Oryzias latipes: one gene and its partners. The protein of the gene in region 3 purifies or fractionates together with the protein of the main gene of each other region. This does not show direct contact. Links are inferred from orthologs where the notes say so. Each region holds a gene or a part of one and is shown on either strand. Other genes may lie near its edges.

The links. The genes of interacting proteins can lie anywhere in the genome.
Region 1: the proteins of mapk6 (region 3) and cep170 purify together in Homo sapiens (affinity purification with mass spectrometry; 3 studies listed by BioGRID and IntAct, with this or other methods). This does not show direct contact. The link is inferred for Oryzias latipes from reciprocal best matches to the Homo sapiens genes MAPK6 and CEP170.
Region 2: the proteins of mapk6 (region 3) and eci2 purify together in Homo sapiens (affinity purification with mass spectrometry; 3 studies listed by BioGRID and IntAct, with this or other methods). This does not show direct contact. The link is inferred for Oryzias latipes from reciprocal best matches to the Homo sapiens genes MAPK6 and ECI2.
Region 4: the proteins of mapk6 (region 3) and neurl4 purify together in Homo sapiens (affinity purification with mass spectrometry; 6 studies listed by BioGRID and IntAct, counting the BioPlex papers as one, with this or other methods). This does not show direct contact. The link is inferred for Oryzias latipes from reciprocal best matches to the Homo sapiens genes MAPK6 and NEURL4.

The regions. Positions count from the first base shown.
Region 1 is NC_019873.2:16,500,143-16,503,709, reverse strand, and holds part of cep170 (centrosomal protein of 170 kDa), read left to right. Parts: intron 1-1,460; coding exon 1,461-1,823; intron 1,824-1,948; coding exon 1,949-2,238; intron 2,239-3,567.
Region 2 is NC_019878.2:4,767,897-4,770,408, reverse strand, and holds the end of eci2 (enoyl-CoA delta isomerase 2, mitochondrial), read left to right. Parts: intron 1-390; coding exon 391-480; intron 481-568; coding exon 569-712; intron 713-852; coding exon 853-1,008; 3' UTR 1,009-1,954; downstream 1,955-2,512. UniProt on the Homo sapiens protein: Able to isomerize both 3-cis and 3-trans double bonds into the 2-trans form in a range of enoyl-CoA species. Has a preference for 3-trans substrates.
Region 3 is NC_019861.2:13,638,159-13,641,725, forward strand, and holds part of mapk6 (mitogen-activated protein kinase 6), read left to right. Parts: intron 1-2,343; coding exon 2,344-2,488; intron 2,489-2,861; coding exon 2,862-3,026; intron 3,027-3,140; coding exon 3,141-3,336; intron 3,337-3,567. UniProt on the Homo sapiens protein: Atypical MAPK protein. Phosphorylates microtubule-associated protein 2 (MAP2) and MAPKAPK5.
Region 4 is NC_019876.2:14,658,472-14,662,038, forward strand, and holds part of neurl4 (neuralized-like protein 4), read left to right. Parts: coding exon 1-91; intron 92-165; coding exon 166-251; intron 252-322; coding exon 323-485; intron 486-557; coding exon 558-765; intron 766-985; coding exon 986-1,062; intron 1,063-1,163; coding exon 1,164-1,242; intron 1,243-2,553; coding exon 2,554-2,723; intron 2,724-2,816; coding exon 2,817-2,945; intron 2,946-3,039; coding exon 3,040-3,185; intron 3,186-3,567. UniProt on the Homo sapiens protein: Promotes CCP110 ubiquitination and proteasome-dependent degradation. By counteracting accumulation of CP110, maintains normal centriolar homeostasis and preventing formation of ectopic microtubular organizing centers.

The DNA.
Region 1 (3,567 bases), on a different chromosome or scaffold from region 3:
GGGCTGCTTTGTGCCGGGTACACACAGCACCAAAGAGCTGTCCTTCTCTTCCTGCTGATCTGTCAGTCCCCTTCATCTGCTGGCTAAAACTTTATTTGGTCTTTTCTTTATGCTTTTTTCTTTTTTTTTTTTACAATCCGCATATAGAAAAACCTATGCTTCATTGGGCACCAGTTAAAGTAAGTTCTGTTTTGGATTGTTTCACAAATGTTCTAGTCAATTATTAAAGATCTGGCTACACTTCCTTGCAGGTTACTTAATGATTATAGTAAATGGTTTAATATGAGAGAAGGTGTAATTGAATGAAAACTAAACTGTAAGTTTGTGTTTTCTTTAAAAATGTGTAATTTATCTACAAATATGCAGATGTTATGAATAAGGTTAACTGCACTTTTTTCCATAAAGGAAAAAGAAGCTGCTCCTGCGTTTACCTTGTCATGTTGAAGAACTTTCATGCAAAGCATGTTAGTGTGTATCTGTTCCTGTCTATATGCACATGGAAGGAACTACTCAGCGATTCTTATTTGTAAAAAGATTCAGAATCTGGCCTTTTCTGAAGCCAGAAATAAGAGATGCAAGTGTACGTGAAGACTGTGCATCAGAGGCTTATGTCTGGAAATAAGAGTGAAATCATTTGAAAAAGGCACATTTGTAATGCAAACAATTTTTCTCAAATTACCAGAAGACCATAATTTGCCCTTTTTTTGTTGTTTTATTTATGTTTTGACTTGATTGTTTTACATCCACCTTCATCCTCACATCCCCCATCCTCCTTCCTAGCTCAGCTTCCCCCTTTTCCCCTTTCGCCTCCCCTCTTTTAACACCTCCTCTTGTCACTCTCGCACTTGCTTCCCTCATCTCTGACCCCTCCCTTCTTGCCTTCCTGCTCCCTCCCCCTCCGCCAGCCTGCTGGCAGTGAAGTGGGCAGGGCCAGTGGTTGTGTGGGTGGGTTGTCTGCATTGGTGTGGCACACTGTCTCCAGCCTGGTTGCTGATTCAGCCCAGACACTTGTGAATGTAAGGCGACTGTAATGTGTTGTGGAGATCACATGATGATTTATCTGATGGTTTATAGGTTAGAATCCGGCCACAGCTGCAGACTCTTATGGTTTGAAAAAAATTCAGTTGTTTAACGACCGGTATGGTGGATTTTTAGGGGATGTGCAGTCAGGTGTGTATATTTTTTTTATAAAATGTTGCAAATAACTCAGATGCAGATCACTGCTCATGTTACTGCATTCTAATACTTAACACATTTTTTGTTTGTAAAGATTACACTAAATGTGATTTAGATTTGAAGGAAGTATGGTTTTTCACAGTGCTAAAACCAGATCTTTGTTATCAAAAATTGCAAAATATAATGTTGGACATTTTTATAGAAAACAAAGCTCTTTTCCACTTGATTCTTGGTAAAAAAAATATTAACTCTAATCATTTATCTGGTTTCTGTTTGTTTCTCAGTAGGAAGCAAACATGAGGATGGCACCCAGAGCGACTCGGAGAACGGACTGGGCCTTCGTTTCTCCAGTCGACGTCATGCCCTCGAGGAACGCCTGAAGGCGGCGCACGGCCACGCTCCAGGAACAACAGGAACAGTGGTGGGGAACACAACTGTGGGCGGGGCCAGAACAACTGGAACTCGCACAGCTTTCATGATCGAACTTTACGACGAGGAAAACCCACGCAAGCGGCGGTCATATTCATTTTCCCAGACTGCACCGCTGCTTCCGGGAGGCACGGGAGGCGAGGGCCTGTGTCCTCAGCCTCCCTCTCACCCAAAGGTGTTCAGCATTTCCACGTCTGCCACTACAGCCTCAGACTCAGGTAATTGTGAATGAATGCTTTCACACACAAAAGACCTAAAAACGACTGTTTGTAAAATAAGATTAACATTTTTTGGAAAAACACTTTTCAGTGGTTGTGTATTTGCCTGCATGTGCATCTGTCAGGTAAAGTCCCAGCTCCAATACCAGCAACAGTGACTGTAGGTGCCCCAACAGCTGCCCGTGTGCTCCTCAAGCAGAGGTCAGAGGATCATAGCATAGGTCGTAGCTCAGCCAGCACCGGACTGGCAACCGGCAGCCCCACCACCCCCAGTGAGGACGCCTCACTGGTTGGCAGAGAAGCTCGGCCTGCTGGTGGAGAAGCAGAGGATGATCACAGCGATAAGGGGACCTACACTATCGAACTGGAGAACAGCAATCCAGAGGAAGAGGAGGCCAGACGCATGATAGACAAGGTAGCAATGCTTTGAGATGTTAGTCTGTTTTCAGGGTTTTTCACCTTTTTTCGTAGAGCATCATAAAAACGTTTAGAGGTATGAACACACCGGACATGTGTTCAAGAACATGAAAGTGGGTTTTTAAACGCACTTTTAGCATATGGTGTTCCCACAGGTCTGTTGCCACCCGATACTAGTGCAAGGATTCACAGTTGGAAGAGCCTTGGTGCAAAATGTCGAAGCGGTGCAAATCTCACAAATTTTACTCCAGGCATTGTCTTTCACAGCTCTATTCCAATTTATGACAGACTTGCTGTCATATAAATCCAGACGGGCACAAATTGATATTGTTCATTTTCTCCTTCACAATGGATTTTTAAATGGTTGGCAGTTCCGTGTTTTGAAAAGAACGCTAGTCATACATCACTACCAAATCCCTGAGTGGTCAAAGTTCAAGTGGTTAAACCTTCAGCATGCGTTCAGTTGCCGCGCATTGTGAACGTTGAACCTGGTAATGGGTCTAAAAACTTGCTTAGCGACAGATGAATGCCAGAGTTTTTAACCCAAAACAAAAGAACACAAAGAGGCAGGTTTTCATTGGAAGCGGACGTTTGGACGCACTTTTCCGAGCCCAGTGTGAACGTAGCATTACACACAGACATACGTAGTTACCCTAATGCATTAGAAGAGGACACCTAATTAGAAATAGATTTCACAGACATCAGCAGAAGTTTGACTTACAAACACTTTTTCATGACGAAGCGTTATGATCAAACTGATAAGTAAAAAAAATGCAAAAGTACGCAGTTTTCCACGACCTTGATTTCAACCATTTCAGCATTTATACGACCTCTCTGCCTGACTTACACTAATAAGCAGAAAGTTGTCTATTTACCAAGACTATATAAAAGTATGTATCTTTGTTTGCATTTGGTAATTCTCTAAAGCACCAACAGGGTCTTTAAGATTTTGTTTTTCATCATAATAGCAAGTAAAACAACAAAAAAATCTTCGTTAAAGTCAAGCTGATGTAGTTTAATTGAAGACCTGAAAGAAGCAAACTACAGCAACTATTAATTCACTCTTTATTACCTGCCTCGTCTGCACTTTTTACAGTTAGGAAGTCATTAGATGTTCTTAAAGCAAAGGTATCATCTCTCTATGGCTTTACTTGACCACAGCCCCTCTACTCTATCCCGCTGAATGTATTGCCTCTGCTCTGTAATGTATTGCCTGCAGTGAACTGCTGCATCCAGCGCTGTTCTTGCTTATTAAAATAACACCCTAGGGGGGCTAAAAAAAACCTGCAGCCTCACCTCTTGGTGCAGAGCTCTTTAGTGGTCAAAG
Region 2 (2,512 bases), on a different chromosome or scaffold from region 3:
ACGTATATTCATGTAGTGGCCACAAATTAGACCTAAACGTAACCAGGATCTCGATAAGCCTTTAATTTATCTAACTGATGTTTCTCCCTGATGGTCAATTTTCAAACAGTTGGAACTTCCGTTATTAAAAAAGGACGCCAACCATCGCTACTACCAAATCCAAATCCCTGACTCAAAGTTGAAATGGTTTACCTTTCAATGCGGCGTTTTGTACGTGAAGCCAAAAAAAAGACTTAAAAACTTGCGTAGCGACGTGAACTGGAGGATTTTGAACGGGGCAGCCCGAATTGCGCATTTACCCGCGTTTGCATAGCTTTTTCATTGAAAGTGGCCGCTTGAACTCACGTTTCTGAGCATAACGTCAGACTTCAACCAGCATCTCCGTTTCAGGCTACCTTCCACACCCCCTTCAGCCAGCTGGGCCAGAGTGCTGAGGGATGCTCCTCCTACACCTTCCCCAAGATGATGGGCAATGCCAAGGTGCGCCCACTGCAGCTGCTGGTTCCTCCTGAGTGCAGAGCGACCTCCTGACCTGCACGAGGGAATGAATGTTGTCACGTGTCTGCAGGCCTCCGAGATGCTGCTGTTCAACAAGAAGCTGACGGCAGCTCAGGCCTGTAGTCTCGGCCTCGTCACCGAGGTTTTCCCCGACAGCAGCTTCCAGTCCGAGGTCTGGAGCAGATTGAAGGCCTACGCCCAGCTGCCTCGCAAAGTAAGCACATCAAGGCTCACACGTGCACACTCACCCGTGCACTCACTGCAGAATCATGCGTGAGTGCAGATGATGTTAGGTTCCTGCCCAACAGTTTATGGAGTTTTGACGCTGCTGGCCTTGTCCCCCTCCCTCCACAGTCTCTGGCTCTGTCCAAGCAGCTGATCCGCTCCATAGAGAAGGAGCACTTGTACGCCGTCAATGACGCAGAGGTGGAGCGCCTCATGGAGCGCTGGACGTCAGATGAGTGCTTCAACGCCATCATGAGCTTCTTCCAGGCAAAGGCCAAGCTCTGATGGACCCCCCCCCCCCACCTCAGAACTAAAGCTTCAGCTCCTTCGTCTTCACAAGAAGTTACCGACAGCAGCTAACAAACAGAAGGACTTCTGAAACCCTCCTCATCGTAGATTCATCCCTCCTGAGAATGTTAAAAAGAAGAGGAGGCGTTCAGGTGAACTCCGTACTATTCAGAGGTTTATCTCTAAATGCAGTTTCTGGAATAAAACATCTGCAGGTTCCATAAGCATCTTTTTACTGAGAAGGACATTTTAACCTTTAGGTGTTTGTTAAGAGTTTCTGGATTTGCTAAAACTCATCTAGTTATATTTTATAACATTATTGAACTAAAGTACAGAGAGTCATAACAGAAAAAAAATGTTTACCAGGTGCTATGTTTCACTTTTACTGAATAAAAAAGTGCCAGAACAATCCACGACCCACTTATTCAGAGTGGGTCTTTAAATTCATGTATTTTTTAGCTTGTAACTTCATTTAGATCAGTTCTTAAATTAAGGAGAGACTGTTGTTATTTTCCCTTAATGCATAAAAATTTAAATATAATGGTAAAATTGGGTGAAGGATCAATACAAAGTTTTTGCAGGAAGGGCTGAGTTATATTTCTGCTTTGACTGGACAAATTGGCCTTCGGCTCCTGAAACAAACATGTCCTCATGTAAAGAATAAGACAACAGACGCATCAAACCTGCTGCTGGCAGAGCTGCAGGGTGTGGTTGCTTGTGAAAGGAGACCGTGGTGTTTTATCTGTAAGGAGAACAGGTTTAAAACATCTCCATCCACAACACGTGTTTGAGATGACTTTAACATTCTCGTCCAGCTAGTGTGGACCACAGCTTATCATGGGTTTTAACTTGGTGTGCCTCATGGCTCAGTTTGGGGGTTTGTCTTCTTTTCTCTGCCATTGTTGCTCTGATATGTTTGCTAAATAAAACTGTTTCAACTTAATTTGTGGCCAAATCTTTGACCAATTGTTGGTGATATCCCTAACCTGAGATGACTTTTAACCACTGTGGAGAGGAAAACTCAGAACCAGGGTTTTTAATATCAGTGCTTCCGCTTCGGTTCGTTTGCTGACTGTTATTACATCCCAAACTGACAGAATCCTCTCTGCTTGGTCTGTGATCGTTTGCCTGGCAAACCTAGTACAGGCTTTGCAGTACCATCTGTAACCTCAGAGAAAAGAGAGAATCTGCCGACGTCTTGTTTTGTTGTTCTGGCGGTTCCTCGTCTTGAGGATGAAGCTCTGTGTAGAAGCTGCTCCTCTCAGAGTTCCTGTCAGGCTTCAGCACGTTTGGGGGTTTCTGTCAGTTGAACAAGCAGCAGCAGGAAATAACCTAAAACTGAGTCTGTCTGAAACCACAACTCCACTCTCAATTGAGGTCACAGATACGTGACCACCTGTCATGTTAAATATTAACGCCCCTTGTTTGCTTTTCATTCCTGCTGAAGCCAACATCCAGGAGCTAAACATTTTCATTCTGTTCTTTAACTGATCAGCAGCCT
Region 3 (3,567 bases):
TCTTAACATATGTTCTTCAATTGATACTCCACGTTGAGAATGCGTTTTTTTGTCCATACGATTTCGGAGGGATTTTCTTTTTGGTAAAATTATAGGAGCAAATGTATGATCATTGGGAACATGTGTCTGCATGTGGCTCGGTGTAAAATGAAGTAATTTGAGATGCTGGCTTAGGCTCTCGGCTGTGTTCAAAGGAGAGTTCACAGAGGTCTTTTCTGCAACACGGTCTCCCTGCAGCTGCAAATCACAAGTGCAATGTCACTCTTACGCACACATTTGACCCAACCATTCATGCCAGCAACAGGCCCGTCTGGTATCGGGCTGCAGGGCTTATAAGAAGAATGCTTGGAAGGAAGTTTAAGGATCAGTGAGTTCGAGAGGTTTTGCTTGTTTTCCTAAATCCAAACAGATTTGACTTTGTTTCATCTACTAATAGTACTCCATTCGCAGACTGCAGTAAATGAAATCCTTGTGTGTTACAGAAACTCCCTAAATAATAAATGTTGTATTTAGTATGTAAAGCAGGTCCATAGTGAAATGTTGCCACCATGGTCGTTGACTCTCATTATCCCTAACAGAATCAATTAACCGTAAAAGACTGTTTTGAGTTTAACAGGATTTATGGTTGGTAAGTTTTCTTGGTTTCTCTTGTACGCAAAGGACAGTATGATCTTTTTGATTCTCTTCCGCTGTTTTTACCGACATCTAGTCTGACTTGCTTCAGGAAACGGAAAGTAATTTCATAGAAAACTTATGAGTCACTACATGATGGTGTGTTGTGATCTACACCAAGGGTTAAAGTTATTCCAAAAGTGTCGTCAGAGCTGTTGAAATGATGAATACATTATTGGATATGACTATGCATAGTATGGTTTCATAATAAGTGCCCTACGTTGAAGTTGGTAAAACTTTAAAGCTTTTTGCTAAAAATCCAACTTATTTTTTCTACAGCAGGTCTGTTTGGTCCAGACCAGAGTCCGTTTCCCACAGTTCACGCTGCTTCATGTGGTTTTACTGGTGCGGTTCAATACAGGGTGAAAGCAGATATACTCTCTGGAGGTCCATGAGGTAAAGGACCACAACGAGTCATAGGCAGCATATATTTTGAGCTGCAAAAATAAACAAATAAAACCAGACACCGTAATTAAAAAATGAGGAATAAAAGAGGTCTGGGCGTGTAACAGTATGACAGAGGGCTAGCTTGGCTTTATCTTAATCATGCTTGTTTCTTTGGTCAGTCCTAATTTTGAGCAGTATCACTGTCATCTGTGCAGCTGCTGTTGCTGCGTGACATTTCTCAGGTGGCCTGGGCTGATCTGTAGAGAGTAGCACGTCTGCAAATGGAAGTTTCTTGAATTTCTCAGCCATTCAATGGCTGTCATGGTCTGATCTTTTCCTGGTCCAACTCAGGTTATTGTTCTCTTAAAAAAAACTAGGTGAAGGTCATCTGATTTATGTTGTCCTTAGCTGAACTGATGGCACACATACCTACACATTACCACAGTCACAAAGTCGTCTGCACAATTGGCTTCTCTGGATGAGTATCGGTCCGCTCTGCCAGGTGTCAGATATTAGCTATGACTTGTGTGTAGTCTAATTCTGCCTGACCTCCTTCACAAGCTGTCCTCAGACTACAAGATTAGCTTGTTACCTGCAGGAAGAGGTCATGTCTTTGCATGTTGCACTGCAAACAAACTTTTAAAAGGAGTGATGCACCCCAGAATAGTGTGACCTCAAGTACCTGCAGCTAAATTAGGGCAGGAACAGGAGCCTTGCTCAATGGCAAGAATACCATTTTGGTCTCACCCCAAACAAGCAGTGCATGTGGGGGGAGACGGGAGCGAGAAGTGAGGGTGTTATTTTACCACTCCCCCTCCCCCCCAGTCGCTCCCACACAGGCCGCTTTCCTTTGTGTTCGGTCCTGTGGCGAGTCAGGCGCTGTTTGAGAGTAGAGAGGCTTTGTGCCAGCGGTGTGGCAGAGGTGGGGGAGATTACTCTCCTGTCCCAGACTGCTGACATGGTCTGCACGTGTCTGATCTCCCCCCTTTCAAGCCTTTTTCTTCCCTTTCTCGTTTTTTTTTTTCACCTACACAGCACGTGTGGTGTACGTGACCCACAGAGTGCAAGTCTGTGAAGGAGATGACACCCAAGTTTATCACATTTCAATGGGGTTATTGCATTTACAGCAACAGCCCAGAAAAAGACAAATGTTTAGATGTCAGCTAGATATGGATCAATTGTAGTTTGAAACAAAGAACTTAGCTATTGGAATAACTCTGTCTTGTAGTTTTGTTTTCTCTTTGAACATCTAACTTAAACTACCCTGGTCTCTGTTGATCACAGGGCCATCTCTCTGAAGGTCTTGTCACAAAGTGGTACAGATCTCCTCGCCTGCTGCTCTCTCCTAACAACTACACCAAAGCCATCGACATGTGGGCTGCTGGCTGCATGTTTGCAGAGATGCTCACAGGGAGAACCCTGTTTGCAGGTAAATGTGGGTCACAGCAGGGATTTCATTTCAATCGTTCTTGAAATGGAGCTGATTTTTAGAGCAAAATGTTTGACTTTGTCAAATGCGCTGACAGGTGTAACTATTCTGGATAATAAACCAATGTTTATCTGCCTGTCTTTCTACTCTTGTAGTTTAGACAATTTTTACAGACATTTTTTGTCATAAAGGTCTTTTTTTTTTGGCAAAACAAAATTGACTTTGGATGAGCAGTGTTCATTTTTCCTTTTTAAAAATGTTTACTTAAAGGTTTTTTTTATATTCCTGTCTCTTTAAAACTGACCTAGATACTTGTTATTCTTGTTTTCAGCTATGTGTGTCATGTACAACTAAGATTTTCTTTCTTTTCCAGGAGCTCATGAGCTGGAGCAGATGCAGTTGATCCTGGAGTCCATCCCTGTCCTGCGAGAGGAAGACCGACAAGAGCTTCACAGTGTCATCCCGGTCTTCATCCGCAGCGACATGTCAAAACCTCACACGCCGCTGGCCAAGCTGCTGCCTGACGTCAGTCCACAGGGTGAGCGTCTCATGAGAATTCAGTGAAATCAAGGATCCAACAGAAAAGCAGTCACATGTCACATGCATCATGTCAATTCCTGACTTGATCTTATCATCCTTTTTCTCTCTGCAGCCCTGGATTTTTTGGAAAAGATCCTGACCTTTAACCCAATGGATCGCCTGACTGCAGAGGAAGCCCTGGCCCACCCCTATATGGCCGACTACTCTTTCCCCCTGGATGAGCCCATCTCTCTGCATCCTTTCCACATTGAAGATGAAGTGGATGATATTCTGCTCATGGACCAGAGCCACAGCCATACTTGGGACAGGTGTGTTTTCTCTCCTTTTTTAATGAGATGCAGTATTCCCTTTTTATTTTAGGATACAGGGCTCCAGACCGCGACCATTTGGTCGCATTTTGCAACCAAAATTTGAGTGTGCGACTGAATTTTACATCCAGTCGCACATGTGCTACCAGTAAATTTGCCTCCCCCACCCTCCGTATTTATTGTACATTACACGTGGAAGGGGCACGTCAATGATCTATGAAATGAGCAATG
Region 4 (3,567 bases), on a different chromosome or scaffold from region 3:
GACAAGTGGGCGGGCTCCATTGAAATTGGAGTCACAACGCACAACCCCGCCTACCTGCAACTGCCCTCCACCATGACCAATCTACGCTCAGGTGAACGACCGCGGTGCCTTTTTTTAAAGCAGGTCGGTTCGGCTAGTCGGAGGCTAATCTTTTGATGTTTTCAGGGACGTGGATGATGACGGGGAACGGCGTGATGCACAACGGGACGACCATTTTAGACGAATATGGGCACAACCTGGATCGACTCAAAGTAGGTGTTAGTAGATATCAGTGTTGGTCTTTGGGGTATTTATTGTTTTGACATTTTTCTTGCCCGTGCAGGCAGGCGACACAGTCGGCGTCGTTCGGAAAGAAGACGGCAGCCTCCATTTTTTCGTGAATGGCGTGGCGCAGGGCCCCGCTGCCTGGAACGTGCCACCCAGCGTCTACGCTGTGGTTGACCTCTACGGTCAGGCGGCGCAGGCCACCATCATGGACGACATGGGTGAGTCAAAGGACTTTTTGGGGGGGGTGGTGGTGGTTCCACAGTGGTTCATGTTTGTGCCTCTGTTGGCAGACCTCCCCCCTCTGCCGGAGGACAGCTCCGAGGGCCCCACAGCCATGTCCCCTGGCAGTCCCTGCTCAGTAGCTGGAGCCACAGCAACCAACGACCTGCGCTTCCACCACCTCCACGGCACCAACGCCGTCATCACCAACGGCGGGCGCACCGCGCTGCGTCAGAACTGCCGCAGCGAGTTCAACGACGCGATTGTTATTTCCAACAGGTCAGACAAATAACATAAAAATCACTTTGAGAGACTTTGAGAAAACCCTTTAAAGAGGAGATCAAACAAAGACCATCACTCTTTAGCTCACCGGTAAATAGAACACAACAGGAAGTTCTGTTAATTTATTCAGGTTGAAAAAAGGTTATGTTTCTTAGTTGATTACTTACTCAAATGCTCACACGTTTATCTGACCTGGCATGAACTTTACTCGTTGCAGGTGCCTTCGAGATGGAGAGCTGTTTGAAATCGTCATCCAGAAGATGGTGGACCGCTGGTCAGGTTCAATAGAAGCAGGTTTGTTGGCGTCTCTAATCGATCCATTGAGTTCACATCCACGACATTTGAAACTTACATGAACTTTCTTACGTCTCTCTCTGGATTTTCTGTGCGTTTAGGAGTAACGGCCATAAGGCCAGAGGAGCTGGAGTTTCCAAACACTATGACTGATATCGATTACGATACTTGGATGTTGAGGTAATCAATTGAATTGTCCGGGTGAATACTCGATTCTGATTGGCTGCTGGGTGTGGATTAAAAAGTAATAAGTAATAAAAAGAAGCTTAAATGTTTTATATCACTGCGTTGGATTCTTTAAAACGAACTTTTGCTTCATTATTAAGAGGTGAACTTTCTCTCTGAACTGATGCTAATTTTAACACATCGTGATCATCAGCATATATATCGCTTTCCTTTGCCCCTGCCAGTTCAGTGCTGGCTAAGCGTGTTACGCGCCGCACCACATAACAAATAGTCCGCTTTTTGTAAAAAAAAATAAAAGAGCGATCTAAACCGAACAAATAACCAGAATAAAGTACTATAAACTAGTTGAATATTTATTTCTTTTGTAACTTACCATGGTATAAGCGGGTTAAAGACCTTCGAAATGTGCATTAGGAGAAATGTCTGATGATGATCGTCAGCCATTATGCCTTGTTTTTTGGTTAAGAACCAAAGTAAAAAACTTTGAATTTGAAAGCTTTTTTGGAAATTTATTTATTTATGAAACATTTCACACTAAAAGTTGTAAAAAAAACAAGATACATTAAATCAAGCGAGAAAAAAAATATATATATATTTATCATTCTTTTCTACTAGATGATTGTCTTTAAGTCTATTGTAAAGCGTTCCCAGTGGTTTTTTAATTATAATTATACCGTTTTAGCCAAAATCAACAAAACCTGTGTCGTTTTCAGGACATAGTTTCTGTAGACCGGCAGCAGTTCATCAGAAATTCAATTTTAAGTTGTGGGAGCAGCCCCGCCCCCCTTCCCCTCCCTGTTACTAAGAGTTATTGGCCCGCCCAGTGTATTTTCTATGTAACAAACGCGCTCCTTTTGAGACGTTTTTATGTCTGCTTCTGATTCATAATGATTTCAATACAGAAATGCAGTTTAAGCTGAATTTTCTTTATATTTGTCTTTCATCATCAGAAAAACGCTACATGAACATGTTAAAAACACCATTTTCACCAGAGCAGGTCTTTAACTCTGATATAATGATACCTTTATAAGTGACTGTGCCATTACATTTAAGGGTGCTGAGTGACTGAACAAGTCATCATTTGGGAAGAAAAGTTACTCTTCAGGACAAAGTGGAAGAAAGCTCCATCAGAAAGAGACTCTGTAGCCACGTTCCGTCTGTTATGACCCGTTCTAAGAGGACAGGAAAGAGACAAACAAAACTAGAGAAAGAACTACAGACGGACCAGAGATAGAAATACTGCAACATTTGAGACTTTTTTTTTTTTTTAACGTAGTTCTTCTTTGTTTCTTTTATTTCTCCCAGTGGAACAGCCATCATGCAGGATGGGAACACAATGCGCAACAACTATGGATGTGATTTGGACTCCCTAACTACGGGCTCTAGGATAGGCATGATGCGCTCGTCCAGTGGCAACCTCCATTATTACATAAACGGCGTGGATCAAGGAGTCGCCTGCTCGGGTCTACCTCCAGGTAAAGTCCCCCGGTGGACTGCATGCACTCCCTGATCCGTTGCAAGCCTCAGGCGGTCCGGCTGAACCACGGATGGGTGTCTTTCTGTCTCAGAGGTGTACGCCGTGATCGACCTATACGGTCAGTGTGTTCAGGTGGCCATCACCAACTCCTCCGGCCCGCTGGACAACAGCCTGTGTACCAGCAACATCACAGAAAAGAGCTTCCCTATCCACTCTCCAGGTACAAACATCAAAATGACGACCGAAAGCTTCGAGTGACCTTCCAATGACTGTGCTGTTGTGTCCGTGTGTGTGCGTCTCTGCTGCGTGGGCAGTAGCAGGCGTCGCCCATCGGCTGCACAGTAAACACGGTAAAAACGTGGTGCTGCTCGGCGAGGGCTGCCAGGCCGTCAGAGTGGGCGGGTACTCTCACGGCATCGTGTTCAGCGGGAAGGAGCTCAAAGCCGACGAGTTATTTGAGGTAAAAGAAACACTGCTGCGTTTGATACAGTGGACAGTTTTAACTCGGGTCTGGAGCAAAGTTTTGGTCCCACAATGATCATCCTTTGATCTATCCAAGTGTTCCCAGTGGTCTTTAAATTATGAATGTGCCATTCATAGCCAAAATCATAACCCTGCATCGTTTCTTTATGACATAGTTTCTGTAGGGTGGCAGTAGTTTGCTCTTAAGCTGTGGGCGGGAATGTTGGAGTGTATTTTCTACGTCACAAATATGATGTTTTTCCAACAGCATTTTTTTTGTCTGATCCTGATTCACAATGATTTGGATAAAGAAATACTCAGAAATGCAATTTTTTAAAAATATAAATGTCCTCTATCATCAAAAAGAAAATGTTAAAAAC